Danio rerio: one gene and its partner. The protein of the gene in region 1 interacts with the protein of each later gene in a pairwise test. Links are inferred from orthologs where the notes say so. Each region holds a gene or a part of one and is shown on either strand. Other genes may lie near its edges.

Evidence for each region.
Region 2: the proteins of plekha5 (region 1) and pdzd11 interact in binary tests that used the Homo sapiens proteins (3 or more experiments, as listed by UniProt). The two-hybrid records come from large-scale screens. The link is inferred for Danio rerio from reciprocal best matches to the Homo sapiens genes PLEKHA5 and PDZD11.

Annotation. Positions count from the first base shown.
Region 1 is NC_133179.1:3,484,199-3,490,530, reverse strand, and holds the start of plekha5 (pleckstrin homology domain-containing family A member 5), read left to right. Parts: upstream 1-2,200; 5' UTR 2,201-2,220; coding exon 2,221-2,312; intron 2,313-2,423; coding exon 2,424-2,500; intron 2,501-2,971; coding exon 2,972-3,029; intron 3,030-6,332.
Region 2 is NC_133189.1:37,800,336-37,806,717, forward strand, and holds the start of pdzd11 (PDZ domain-containing protein 11), read left to right. Parts: upstream 1-2,654; 5' UTR 2,655-2,685; intron 2,686-3,056; 5' UTR 3,057-3,066; coding exon 3,067-3,159; intron 3,160-3,248; coding exon 3,249-3,389; intron 3,390-3,465; coding exon 3,466-3,564; intron 3,565-3,671; coding exon 3,672-3,732; intron 3,733-6,076; coding exon 6,077-6,111; 3' UTR 6,112-6,382. UniProt on the Homo sapiens protein: Mediates docking of ADAM10 to zonula adherens by interacting with PLEKHA7 which is required for PLEKHA7 to interact with the ADAM10-binding protein TSPAN33.

The DNA.
Region 1 (6,332 bases):
TCAGACTGGATTACTAATTGGGTGGATTTATGGCTGATTTGGAGACGAGGACACCAATCAAGAGCCTGAAGCGTCTCAGACAAACATTTAAGACCTTTTTTCTGGGTTCAGGTCCTGGTCAGAGGCAGCAAGACCTGAAGGAAACACTTTAAAAGGTAAGAAGTGCTTTAGTATGAAATGTAAAATCTGCAGTTAATATTGTGTATGGTTAATGGAATAAGATCCTGAATGTGTTTTCGTGCTTAGTTATTACTTTATTTGTTTTTAAATGTGTTATATAAAGCCATTGTATGAAGACCGAATCAAAATGTTGCTATAATGCACAGTTGAAGTCTAATTTGTTAGCCTACCTTTAATTTTTTTTTTCTTTTTTAAATATTTCCCAAATGATGTTTTACAGATTCAGGAAATTTTCACAGTATGTCTGATAATATTTTTTGTTCTAGAGAAAGTCTTATTTGTTTTATTTCGGTTAGAATAAAAGCAGTTTTTAATTTTTGAAAAGCGATTTTAAGGTCAAAATTATTAACCCCTTTTAAGCTATATTTTTTATCTATAATCTACAGAACAAACCATCGTTATACAATAACTTGCCTAATTACCCTAACCTGCCTAGTTAACCTAATTAACCTAGTTAAGCCTTTAAATGTCACTTTAAGCTGTATTGAAGTGTCTTGAAAAATATCTAGTCAAATATTATTTACTGTCATCATGACAATGATCAAATAAATCAGTTATTAGAAATGAGCTATTAAAAATATTATGTTTAGAAATGTGTTAAAAATAGCTATATATATATATATATATATATATATATATATATATATATATATATATATATATATATATATATATATATATATATATATATATATATATATACATACATACAGTTAAAGTCAGAATAATTAGCCCTCCTGAATTATTCAATCCCCTGTTTATTTTTTTTTTCCCGTTTTTTGTTTAATGGACAGATTTTTTAACACATTTCCAAACATAACAGTTTTAATAACTCATCTCTAATAACTGATTTATTTTATCTTTGTCATGATGACAGTAAATAATATTAGACTAGATATTTTTCAAGACACTTCTATACAGCTTAAAGTAACATTTAAAGGCTTAACTAGGGTAACTAGGCAGGTTAGGGTAATTAGGCAAGTTATAGTATAATGATGGTTTGTTCTGTAGATTATCGAGAGAAATAATTTGCTTAAAGAGGTTAATAATTATGACATTAAAATGGTGTTTAAAAATTTAAAAACTGCTTTTATTCAAGTCGAAATCAAACAAATCAGACTTTCTCCAGAAGACAAAATATTATTAGACATGCTGTGAAAGTGTCCTGGATGATAAACATTATTCGGGAAATATTTAAAAAAAGAGAAAAAATTCAAAGGGGGGCAAATAATTCTGACTTCAACTGTATGTATATGTATGCATGTATATATCAGTAGACCCCTCACAAATCTCTTTTTTAAATTTATATTTTAAATAGGAAGCTCTACAATATTATATTTGTGCATATACATTAGGTTAGTCAGCACTGAAGCCAAATCTAGAGCTTATCTAACAAAATTACTTACGATAACCCTCCAAAAACCAGTAGAGCCAAATTTAAATGTTATAGAAAACATTAAATACAAATTTTAAAAAGAGAAATTTAGTTACATGCAATATTATACAATGCAATTTTATGCAAATGTAACAATACAATGCAATATTTTGCTTGAACTTAATTGTATTATCTTTCAATTTCTAAATATGTTTGGTGACTTAAAATATTATTTTAATAAATATGTGTGTAATAAATCTGTTTTGTTTAAATGCACCAAAATACATTGTCTGTATTCACTGAGAAATGGAGAAAAACATTTATTTACAAAACAAAGCAAGCATGTTTTTTTAGTTTATTTTTAGTACTGTGACATATGTACAAACTTAGCGCAAACAAGTCCACACATCTCATAACTATTTAGAACAAAATAAAAAAGAGAGCAACAGTATGCAATCAACGTATAAACAAATAAGCACGCGTGTCTGATGTATCGACAGCACAACTTCAATAACAAACATGCTAAAGTAAGCGTGTCGTTTGAATACGAATAAGCGAATCACGTCAGCGCGTGTCATTGGTCCGCCTGCGCCCTGGACACCGTTGCTAAGGAATCCCGTGTACGCGCGTGTGGGTCGGCGGCGCGCAGCTCTCAGTGCTCAGACATGGCGGCGGACCTGAACCCGGACTGGCTGTCTTGCCTGCCTTCCTCTTGGAGTTACGGCGTGACCCGGGACGGACGAGTGTTCTTTATCAAGTAAATATCTGCAGGAACTAAGACTCGGGGATCGGTTTGACTCGAAACCCTCTCATCGGTTGTTTTTTCCCCTCCACCTTCTCTCACCCCCTTTTTTCTCTCACCCAACAGTGAAGAAGCGAAGAGCACAACCTGGCTGCATCCAGTCACAGGAGAAGCCGTCATTACAGGACACAGAAAAACTCCAGGTGAGGCTTTATTTTGATTTATTTTACGAGCGGAGAAATGCAATCAATGCAGTTGCAGAAACCGCAGCTGTGGCTGAACGCGATGCGCGCAGTGTCAATGCGTTCGCGTTGCGTTTCGTGCGTTGCGTTGCATGCAGCACGATTTCTGACAACTTGCGTTCGGTTGCTTTGCGCGCCCACGATCGGTTTGATTGACAGCTGTCACTTGGTTGATCATCTGACCCCATGCACTGAATCATAAATCGTAAACTCCCTTATTAAAACGAGTCTCACATGCGTTATTATCAGCAGTGAATGATCCTCATTGACATGTTGATCTTGCAGATGCATCGCCAGCAATGCTCATATTTTGGGCACTGCAGATCAGAGATGTGCTGCCCAGTCACTCTAGAAAGATGCTGTTTGCATGCAAAAACTCATTGTCCTCGCCTCCTCTCAGCTTTTTAATTAATTAATTTATTTTTTCTTCAGATTTACCCACCGGATGGGAAGAAGGATACACGTTTGAAGGAGCCCGTTGCTTTATCAAGTGAGTTGGAGGTTCAGCTTATTGGCAGAAGGAGGATATTTCACTCTCGCCTGCTTGTTTGACAGCAGCAGTGATTTCAGATCGCCGCCCCCTCACACACACACACACACACACACACACACACATATATATATTCACTCATACACTCATGCCACAGCGTCTCCAGAAATGCTTCGGCTAGCACACTGAAGGTAGGGCTGGGCGATATGACAAAAATCATGATATAAATCACGATAATCGTCTCATATTCTGATAACGATATATATCATGATATAGTACAATTCAATCAATCAATCAATTAATTATTATATGGACCACATGTAAAGCACTATTTATTTATTACATTTTAAAGTATGCATTAATATACTCATTAAAATATGGTCATATTTCTCATGTTATTAATATTAGAACTTCAGGGCAAAGGTTTGATTAAGAATGCAGAAATATGAAAGAAATATTAATACTATTAGTGCTGGGTACAAATTAATCGCATCAGGAATGAAAGTTTGTTTTGGCATAGTTTAATTGCGTTTACTGTGTACATTTACTATTTATATGTAAATACACACATGCATGCATATATTTCAGATGTAAAATATATATGTATATGATACAAATTAGATATATAATTGAATATCTATGTAACAAAATAGTTTTGTATAGCGTTTCTATCACATATAAATAAAAATCATATATAATACACACACATATTATGTCAAAAACTTTTTTTGCACTAAATTAAATATTAACACTGTTCAGGGATGCGTTTCCCAAACAAAGACGTAACTTTCGGCTAACTATTATAGTATGATGCATCGTTTGGGAAGTGAACAATGTAGTGACGAATGTTTCCCAAAACCTGTAGTTTCTCTGTCGCAGATCCATCGTTTAAACAATGTTAGTTTAATGTAAAACACCCATAATGGTGCTCTAAACAGGGTGGTAACAACTTCTTTAGAGAAGAACCCCGTCAGTTCTTTGTGCAAATTATATTGTTTTACATGCACACGCATTTAATAAAAAATCCAATGTTAGTTTTGGTAAAAACATGCACTCATTTTCTATATTACCTGAAATATATGTAAACAGCACATATAGGTCCTGTGTTTCCTTTACAAATATTATTGAGAACATAATATAATAAAATATTGTTAAAAAAATACAAATGTTGTTAAATAAAATGCAAATGTGAACATTGTATTATCAAGTATTGCAACTTTCTCATGATCCTGTTATTTATGTTTATGTCGGCATCTCTGTAATCGCATATAATATAGATCATTAAAGAGATTTACAGTAAACAGTGTATTTAATGATTAGGCATGGGCCGGCATAAGTTTCTGACGGTATAACCTTCAATAAAAACATCACGTTTTCACGGTATTGTGATTACTGCTCTGAAATATATTCTTTTAAAATGTTTGGCTAAAAAGCAGCTACGTTTTCCGCTTTGAACACAATATATTTTAATTTGGGAAACATTTAAGATATTTTGTTACAGTAAATAATTCAAATGAATCATTGACTTCTGCTGTCTTCATTAGTTTCAAAAACACTGATTTCATTACAATTTAAACAGCATCTTTGAGGTAATGTTGTCCAATCAATCAATCAATCAATCAATCAATAAATAAATAAAAAATATTCTTGCCTATACCATGGGAGCGATATAACAGAAAATGTTGGTGCTTTTAAAACCTTGACATTTCCAAACCGCTTTAGACCTTGAAAACGGTTATCGTCCCATTTGTTGCGCCTATTTGTGATACTATGAGCATAATATGAATTAATAGACGTTTTATTTTGTCTATATGAGATATATATTGTCATATTGCACAGCCCTAACTGAAGCTATACACTAGTCTTTAGAGCATTTTCACTCCCCTGTTAAAAAAGAAAAAAGTAATTACCGTGAGGGTGACGGAGGGCTTGACAGGCTCGTGTGATTCAAACCTCTGTTGGCTGAAAACAGGCTCAACTTGTTGGTTTCCACTGAGTGAATCATATTAACCCTATTTTTCTCCACATTGCAGTCCTTTTTCGTGTTAAACTACCTGTTTCAGATGAATCTGTGTGGTTTTTTGTGTGCTAGCAGGTCTTGGTTTGTTTGATAAGCTTGTATTGAGGAGAGCTGATCAAAGTTTTTAGGCTCTGGTGTGCTTTTTTGAATTAGTGAATGAGGCTGATGATTTTTAGGAGTGTTTTCATCTGTGATTGGGTTGAGAATGAGCCAGTTTGCTTTTTGGGATGATGTTTTTGCGTTTTTGGGATGATTATTTGCGTAGATTGTCTGATTGTTTTTATCAGATTTTTTCTTGAGTGGCATAACAGATGCTGGGGTGCATGTTTTATGCTATTTTACTTTGGTCGATTTCCATTTTTGTGGTTTTGAAAGTGGTTGATGTATTAATTAACAGTCCTCTCCCTCTTGTGGCCTTTTTGGCAATATTGGTTGTGGTTGAGGAGTAAATGTTGTGTCTGTATTTTGTGTACATCTCATTGATGCTCATGACAATTCCATATGTACTGTAAGTGTGCTTTGTTGCATTGGCCTAATTCATTGACAGTCTATATTAAGGGTAAGTTTGACATTGTAAATGTTGCTTTATTTATTTATTTTAATCGCTGATGCATTGAAATGACCTTATATTATAAACGCAGTATTACCAACAAAATGTTTTTTTTGCACAAAAAGTTTGATTTATTGAGAAAATTCTGACTCTGAATGTGCATTTTTGCTTTAAAGAGCTTGCTTTATTTTCTTGATCATTGTTGGGTTTCAATGACATATCAATATTATTAGAGAAGAATCGTCCTGCAGATAATTTGCACATTTTCTTAGATTTATTGCATGGGTATTTCAATGGGCTGTTCTGTTTTCCTCATCATTCCTGGCTTCAAATGACATATCAGTATTAATAGAAGTACCATCCTGCAGATAATTTGCACAACACTTTTGATTTATTGTAAAAAACACACAAGAAAACAAAAATAAAAACAGGATCTGTATGTGCATTTTTGCTTTAAAGAAACTGTTTGCTTTAAATGTCCAAACAGGGTTATTAGAAAAGCATCATCATGCAATAATTTCCACAATACTTTTGGCTTTATTGTGAAAAACTTTGCATTTGAGTGTGTATTAATGCTTAAAAGAATTTGCTTTATTTTCCTCATCATTGACGCCTTTAAACATCCAAACAGGATTATTCGAGAAGCAAATTCATACAGTTTGTAGAGGAAGTTTGATTTATTGTGAAAAAAATCATCAACTTTTGCTTCAGAGAACTTGCTTTATTTTCTTGA
Region 2 (6,382 bases), on another chromosome or scaffold:
ATTGACTTTGAATAGATTTGGATAGCTTTCCTGTAATGCCCTTGATTTATTTGTTTTCATACACGTTTACACAATTGTAATTTACTTATATTTTCTTTGTTTTGTTAGTCTTTTTTTCTTTCTGCAGCTAATGTAGCTTGTCTTTTTCCTCTATTGTATCTATATTGATCTCCTGATGGTGGTTGTATATTTTCATTCTTAAATAAATAAATAAATAAATAAATAAATTTGAAAAAAAAGAAAATTGTCATTTTGAAAATAAGATAAAAAAATTAAAAAAAAGAGGAATTTTATAAACTGAAATTAAACATCTGTTTTATTACTAAAATCAGTGGATTAAAATAAAAGAAAATACATAAAATAAAAAGAAGCAAATTATAGATTTATTTTTAACCACATTAATAATAATAATAATAATAATAATAATAATAATAATAATAATAATAAATTAATACTGGGCCTAAATAATAATGACAAGACATTCTATGACAAGCAAAACATTGTACATTTCTAAATATATTGTTTTAAAAAAATGTGACATACAACTTCAAGTTTTTACAAAAGGAGGAGGATTGGAGACATTAAACAAACTGGTGCATTACGTTTTCAGTTTAATCACTCCAATTTTTGCAAATATGCCACCTGCTTGCTTCAGAAGCACAGTGGGCAACTGCTGTACTATGTTAATTATTACATTATATCTACAGTGTGACACTGCCTCTGACTCTGTTAATGCTAAAATGCCCAGACTTGTGAACAATGAGTGAGGCTGTTTTTGGCACATTTCAGTGATGTTTTTTTTTTTTCAGGGAAGGTTAATATTTTACAGTGGATTTCTTATTTAGCAGGCACATAACAAAAAGTCTACAGTGTAACAGAATATCCTTCAAACTAAAATATGAAAAAAAAGTTAACCCTGACACTACAAACAAGGCATTTGTGATTTAAGATGATCTTGAGCAAGAGAGCATAAAGAGCCTTCTGTCAGAGAAATGACCCAGAGTCCACGCTCACTCTGGGGTGAACTGCAACAAGAAACTGGCCGAAAAACAAATATTTTGTTTAGCTTTACATATTTGATTTTATTTATTGAATAACAAGAACAATAGCATACAAACAAACTGAGGAATACAGTTTTTACATTATCTCAAACATCAAAGGAACAAATCAATAGAGAAAAAAAAATAAATAAATGAATAAAATTACAGGGGATATATAAATTACAAGAAATACGCATACGAAAAATTATTCAAAAAAATCCTTTTTGCATACATGCTTATCGCTTCTTAAAAATATTTTAAATGTATTTTATGGTTTCAATTTTAAGATAAATTTTAAACAAATAAACGTTAGGTTTATCCTTGGCCATTTTTTTTTTGTGTGTGTGTAAATGGGACTTCCCATATTATCATTAAATGAATAATCAAATTTTGCTCAAAAGTTTTTTATTATTATTGTTATTATTATTATTATGTCAAAAAATTACCTTTACAAGAAAGCTTAATTTCTAATTTTTTTTAGATTTAACTATAAAAGATATTGAACATCAAACCAAAACATTTGTGTATATGTGCATTCAAAAAACAGACATATTCTGGATTCCTCTTCTAATTCACAAAAAGTGCACGCAGATTCAATGTTTCTAAAAAAAATTAACAACCTGTTTCACTGTATAAATTTAATTGATTAGTTTGTCACTTCTTTAACTTTATTGGTGAGACAGTATTTACTTGACAAGTTCCAAACTTTTTACCACTCAATCTGCTCAAATAAGCAATTCCAAAAAGGTTTGCATTTAGGCAACAATGTGGTTCTGCAAAACTTTTAAAATGTAGAACTTATTCAATTTATTGCCTATAATTTTCACACCATTATAACTTAACTAATTAGTATGTAACAGGTTGGATTTAGAGGACATATTACCAGATAAGAGCTGAACAAGACAACCAGGAACTGCATCAAATGCTATTGCAAATTCTTTGGCAGTAATCACAATAATAAAGAAATTGACCATTACTTTTGAATAACTGTCGCACCAATATATCATTACTGTACCAATTTCTATAAAATAAATATTTATTTTTAAAGGTTATCCATTTGTTATACATCACTGTATAACAAAGGTTATAGAGCACTGATTTATGTGGAGAAAAAATATGCTTGTAAATAAGCATCCATAGTAAACATACTCGTTAATGAAAAGAGGAACGTTTTATTGGCACCTTGTTAATATCAAAATCACACCTTAAAATAATTCTAAACCCTCCACCTGGTCAAAAACTAATTCAGGGATGATGCTCCAAATTTTGCCTTTATTCAGGCAATTCTTAATCTATTTGTTTTTAAATAGCCTACACGGTGTTGAAGTTAACAACATGGTGACCACTATCTTTAAGTGGCATGCACAAAATTGTCTTCTTTAAATAATGTGGTGTGCTCCTTCATATCAAATTGAACAAAAATTTATCCACCTCTTTTATGACTAAATGTGGAGCATCGAATGCAAGAGCCGTGTATACTAAACGTGACAATCCTTCAGTTTTGGCTTTAATATCCCCCCCTTGACTTACAAATCTCTCATTAACCATAAGTTTATATTTTGTTGCTTTCCTATGAAAAGAAAAACGTGCTGACGTCATCAGCGAAAGGGCGGGGCTAAAGGTTCACTCGACTCAATGTGTTCTGGTGAGTTGACAGACAAAAACAAAACTGCAGAGCAAAAGAAGCGGCATATACTCGTTGTTTTAGATTTTAGTTTAAGCGTGTTTATAACCTTAGTTTATTCGCGCAACATTTGAGAATTTATTACGCTGTTGCTCATCGCATCTTGTGTTTATTGATGTGTGTTAGCAAGCTAGCCTACTGTAGCTCATTGTACAATGAGAACCGCAGAGAGTGAATTTACATCCATTTGAATAATTCTATACTAAAATCACTACAATAATTTTTAAAATACATCTTTCATAACTCTTTATAGCTATAACCAAGCCTGTATTGTTTTATTGTAAAGATGATTAATGACATCATGACGCTATTGATTTTTTTCTCACGTCCAGCTCGACAAACATGGACCAGAAGATTCCGTATGATGATTATCAGCTGCCGGTAGTGTTTCTTCCCTCCTATGAAAACCCTCCTGCATGGATCCCTCCACAAGAAGTACTGAACACTACTATTGCACTTCATTTAATCTTATCATTTGTAATCAAACATAAATCCTAATTATCATCTTTCTTCTTTGTAATCAGAGGATTCATCACCCTGACTATAACAATGAGCTCGCCCAGTTCCTACCTCGCACTATAGTGTTAAAAAAGCCCCCTGGTGCACAGCTGGGCTTCAATATCCGTGGAGGAAAAGCCTCGCAGCTTGGCATATTCATTTCAAAGGTGAGTTCAGCTGTGCTAGTTAAAAACTTGTTCGTCTATTTAAACAATTGACTTAATCGTATGTTGTTTGTGACAGGTGGTGCCAGATTCAGACGCCCACAGGGCAGGACTTCAGGAGGGTGATCAGGTGCTTTCTGTCAATGAAGTGGACTTTCAAGACATTGAGCATTCAAGGGTAAGATCTGACCTGTCAGTCTACGGACAGAAGAACACTGACTGGATATGCCTCTGGATGGATGTGCCTCTAAGCTCAATTGGTCTAATCTTTGATTTGTTTTCTAGGCAGTGGAGATTTTAAAGACAGCAAGAGAGATTTTGATGAAGGTTCGATATTTCCCTTACAGTGAGTATTACAATAATTAATATGACATGACAAATCAAACATTTCCTTTACAGTTTTGAATAACAAATTTCAAATGCAATAGAGGTAAAGTTGGTTTTATATTCGCACATTCGTTCATTTAGCAGTCTCTATATTGTTTACCATGTTACTTTGAATATTCGATCTGAATTAGCATGCGAGTATGACTTCTAAACAACAGTAACACAATCTAATTCACTGTGAACAATGTTGTACTTTGATAGTCATTTGCTGCTAATATGATTTCCCTATTTACAATTTGCAAAGAATATTTTTCTGAAATTATATTACTAAGGAGAAAGTCTGAATATCCGAATATAAAACCAACTTTACCTCTATTCAAATACACGCCATATAGTAAAAGATGCAAGCAAGCTGCATTTTCTCACAACGCAAATATTTGAAAATGTTTCAAGGGGACCCTAAAACATGACGGACCAAGCTATTTAGGTTATGGTTATTTAGGCTAATAAATACTAAAGACACGGGAATCGGGATATGAAAAAAAAATCTTTCAAAGATTACCTAAAACTTCACTGAGCATTATCGCGGACAATACTCACGGCACAGCGGCGTCTGTCACATTTTTGGGTCCACTTGAAACATTTCTGTTGTGTTGTGAGAAAATGCAGTGCGTTTCCCAAATTGTTTGAGGTGTGAGAGTGTAGCACGTTTTTTTAAAAATGTGTTTGCATTGTGAGGATTTGCAGCATGTGTGCAGTGAAACAGATGAAGATCGTTCTCAATTTGCTGTTGTTTTTTTGTAATTGCATGAGTTTTCTTAAATGGCAGCATGTTAAGCTCTCTCGGCCACTGTATGTAAGGGTTAAAATCAGATTTTTGTTTCTTATTAAAATCAGGGTTATTCCAGCAAATATTGATTTTTACTGTTTAAAAACTAATATAAACATGTCTAAAACACAGCAGTTTTTATAACATAATTTTGATCTTATTTCATGCAAACAAAGCTATTTCTTTAACATTTTTATTTTAATTATAGAAGAAATGTCTAAGAATAATACAAAAATCACATCTTATTCAAACATAAAATATGTGCTGCCAAAGTATACAAAACTTCATGAAAGATTTTTAGGTTCACTAAGTGTCATTTTAGCAGATGTCTTCTGTAAATCATAGCAAAAATGTGTGAAAGTTTGTGTTTTTGCTCTGAGGAAAGAAAAAAAAGAAACTGGACTCATTCTTCAGTATGGAAGTAGAGAATTACAGTTAGTTATTAGACGCTCTGTAGTTATGAAATGACTTAATAACTATAATGATTTGACATTCAAATTTTTAAATACTGAAACTGTATGATAATATATTTAAAAAAAAAAATATGTTGGCGTCATGGTGGCGCAGTGGGTAGCATGATCCCCCCACAGCAAGGGTTTGAGCCCCAGCTGGGTCAGTTGGGATTTCTGTGTAAGTTTGCATGTTTTCCCCGTGTTAGGTCAGGTTTCCTCCGGGTGCTCTGGTTTCCCACACAGTCCAAACACATGCGCTATAGGTGAATCGAATAAGCTAAATTGGCCATAGTGTATGTGTATAAATGCAAGAGTGTATGGGTGTTTCCTAGTGTTGGGTTGCAGCTGAAAGGGTATCTGCTGCGTAAAACATATGCTGGATAAGTTGGCGATTCATTACGCTGTGGTGACCCCTAATTAAAATAAAGAGACTAAGCTGAAAAGAAATTGAATTAATGAACGAATAAATATTTTGGGAGATGTCTGCGAGAATGGGGGGCTATATCATATCAAGAACCACTGCATTAGTCTAGTTAAAATAATTAAAACAGGGGTGTCCACACTCAGTCCTGGAGGGCTGGTGTTCTGCAAAGTTTAGTTCCAACTCTAATCAGACAAAGCTGGGCTTGCTAATTGAGCTCTTACTAGGCTTTCTAGAAACATTCTTGCTGGTGTGTTGAGACAAGTTAAAATCTGCATGGACACTGGCCCTTGAGGCCCGAGTTTAGACACCCCTGGCTTAAAAGGATGGCTCAGTCAAAAGTTTTAACTTACTGACCCTCAAGTGGTTCCATACCTTTATAAGTTTCTTTTTTCTGTTGAACACAAAATAAGATAATTGGAAGAATGTCATAAACCTGTAACCATTGACTTTCATAATAGGAAATACTAAGGAATTCAGTGGTTACAGGTTTCCAACATTTTTTCAGAGTAACTTTTTTGTGTTCAACAGAAAAAAGAAACTCAAACAGGTCTGAACGAGTGAGGCGTGAGTAAACGATGACCGAATCCTCAGTTTTGGGTGAACTTTCCCTTCAAGTGACTGTTTCTGGCTGTGCTTGACATCATGAATGTGTTTCCAGATTACCAGCGGCAGAAGGAGAGGACTGTCCACTAGGTGTCAGAGTAGACCTTCAGGAGCGCAGCAGTGCCGTGACGCAGCGATGAGGCGTTGGTGTGTCAGTGAGAAAGGCTCGTCTCCTCTGCATCATCTTCCTCCCACAAACTCTTTTCTCTGCCTAAAAGACTGCTCAAAGAAATCATCTTCAAACACTCCAGCACATGCCTTGATGATTCACATCTAGCGCTGGCTTTTCCAGATGCGTCTCCTGTTTATGTGTGCTTTCATCTGGGAAAACAAGCATATTCTTTGGGACATGAAGAGAAAC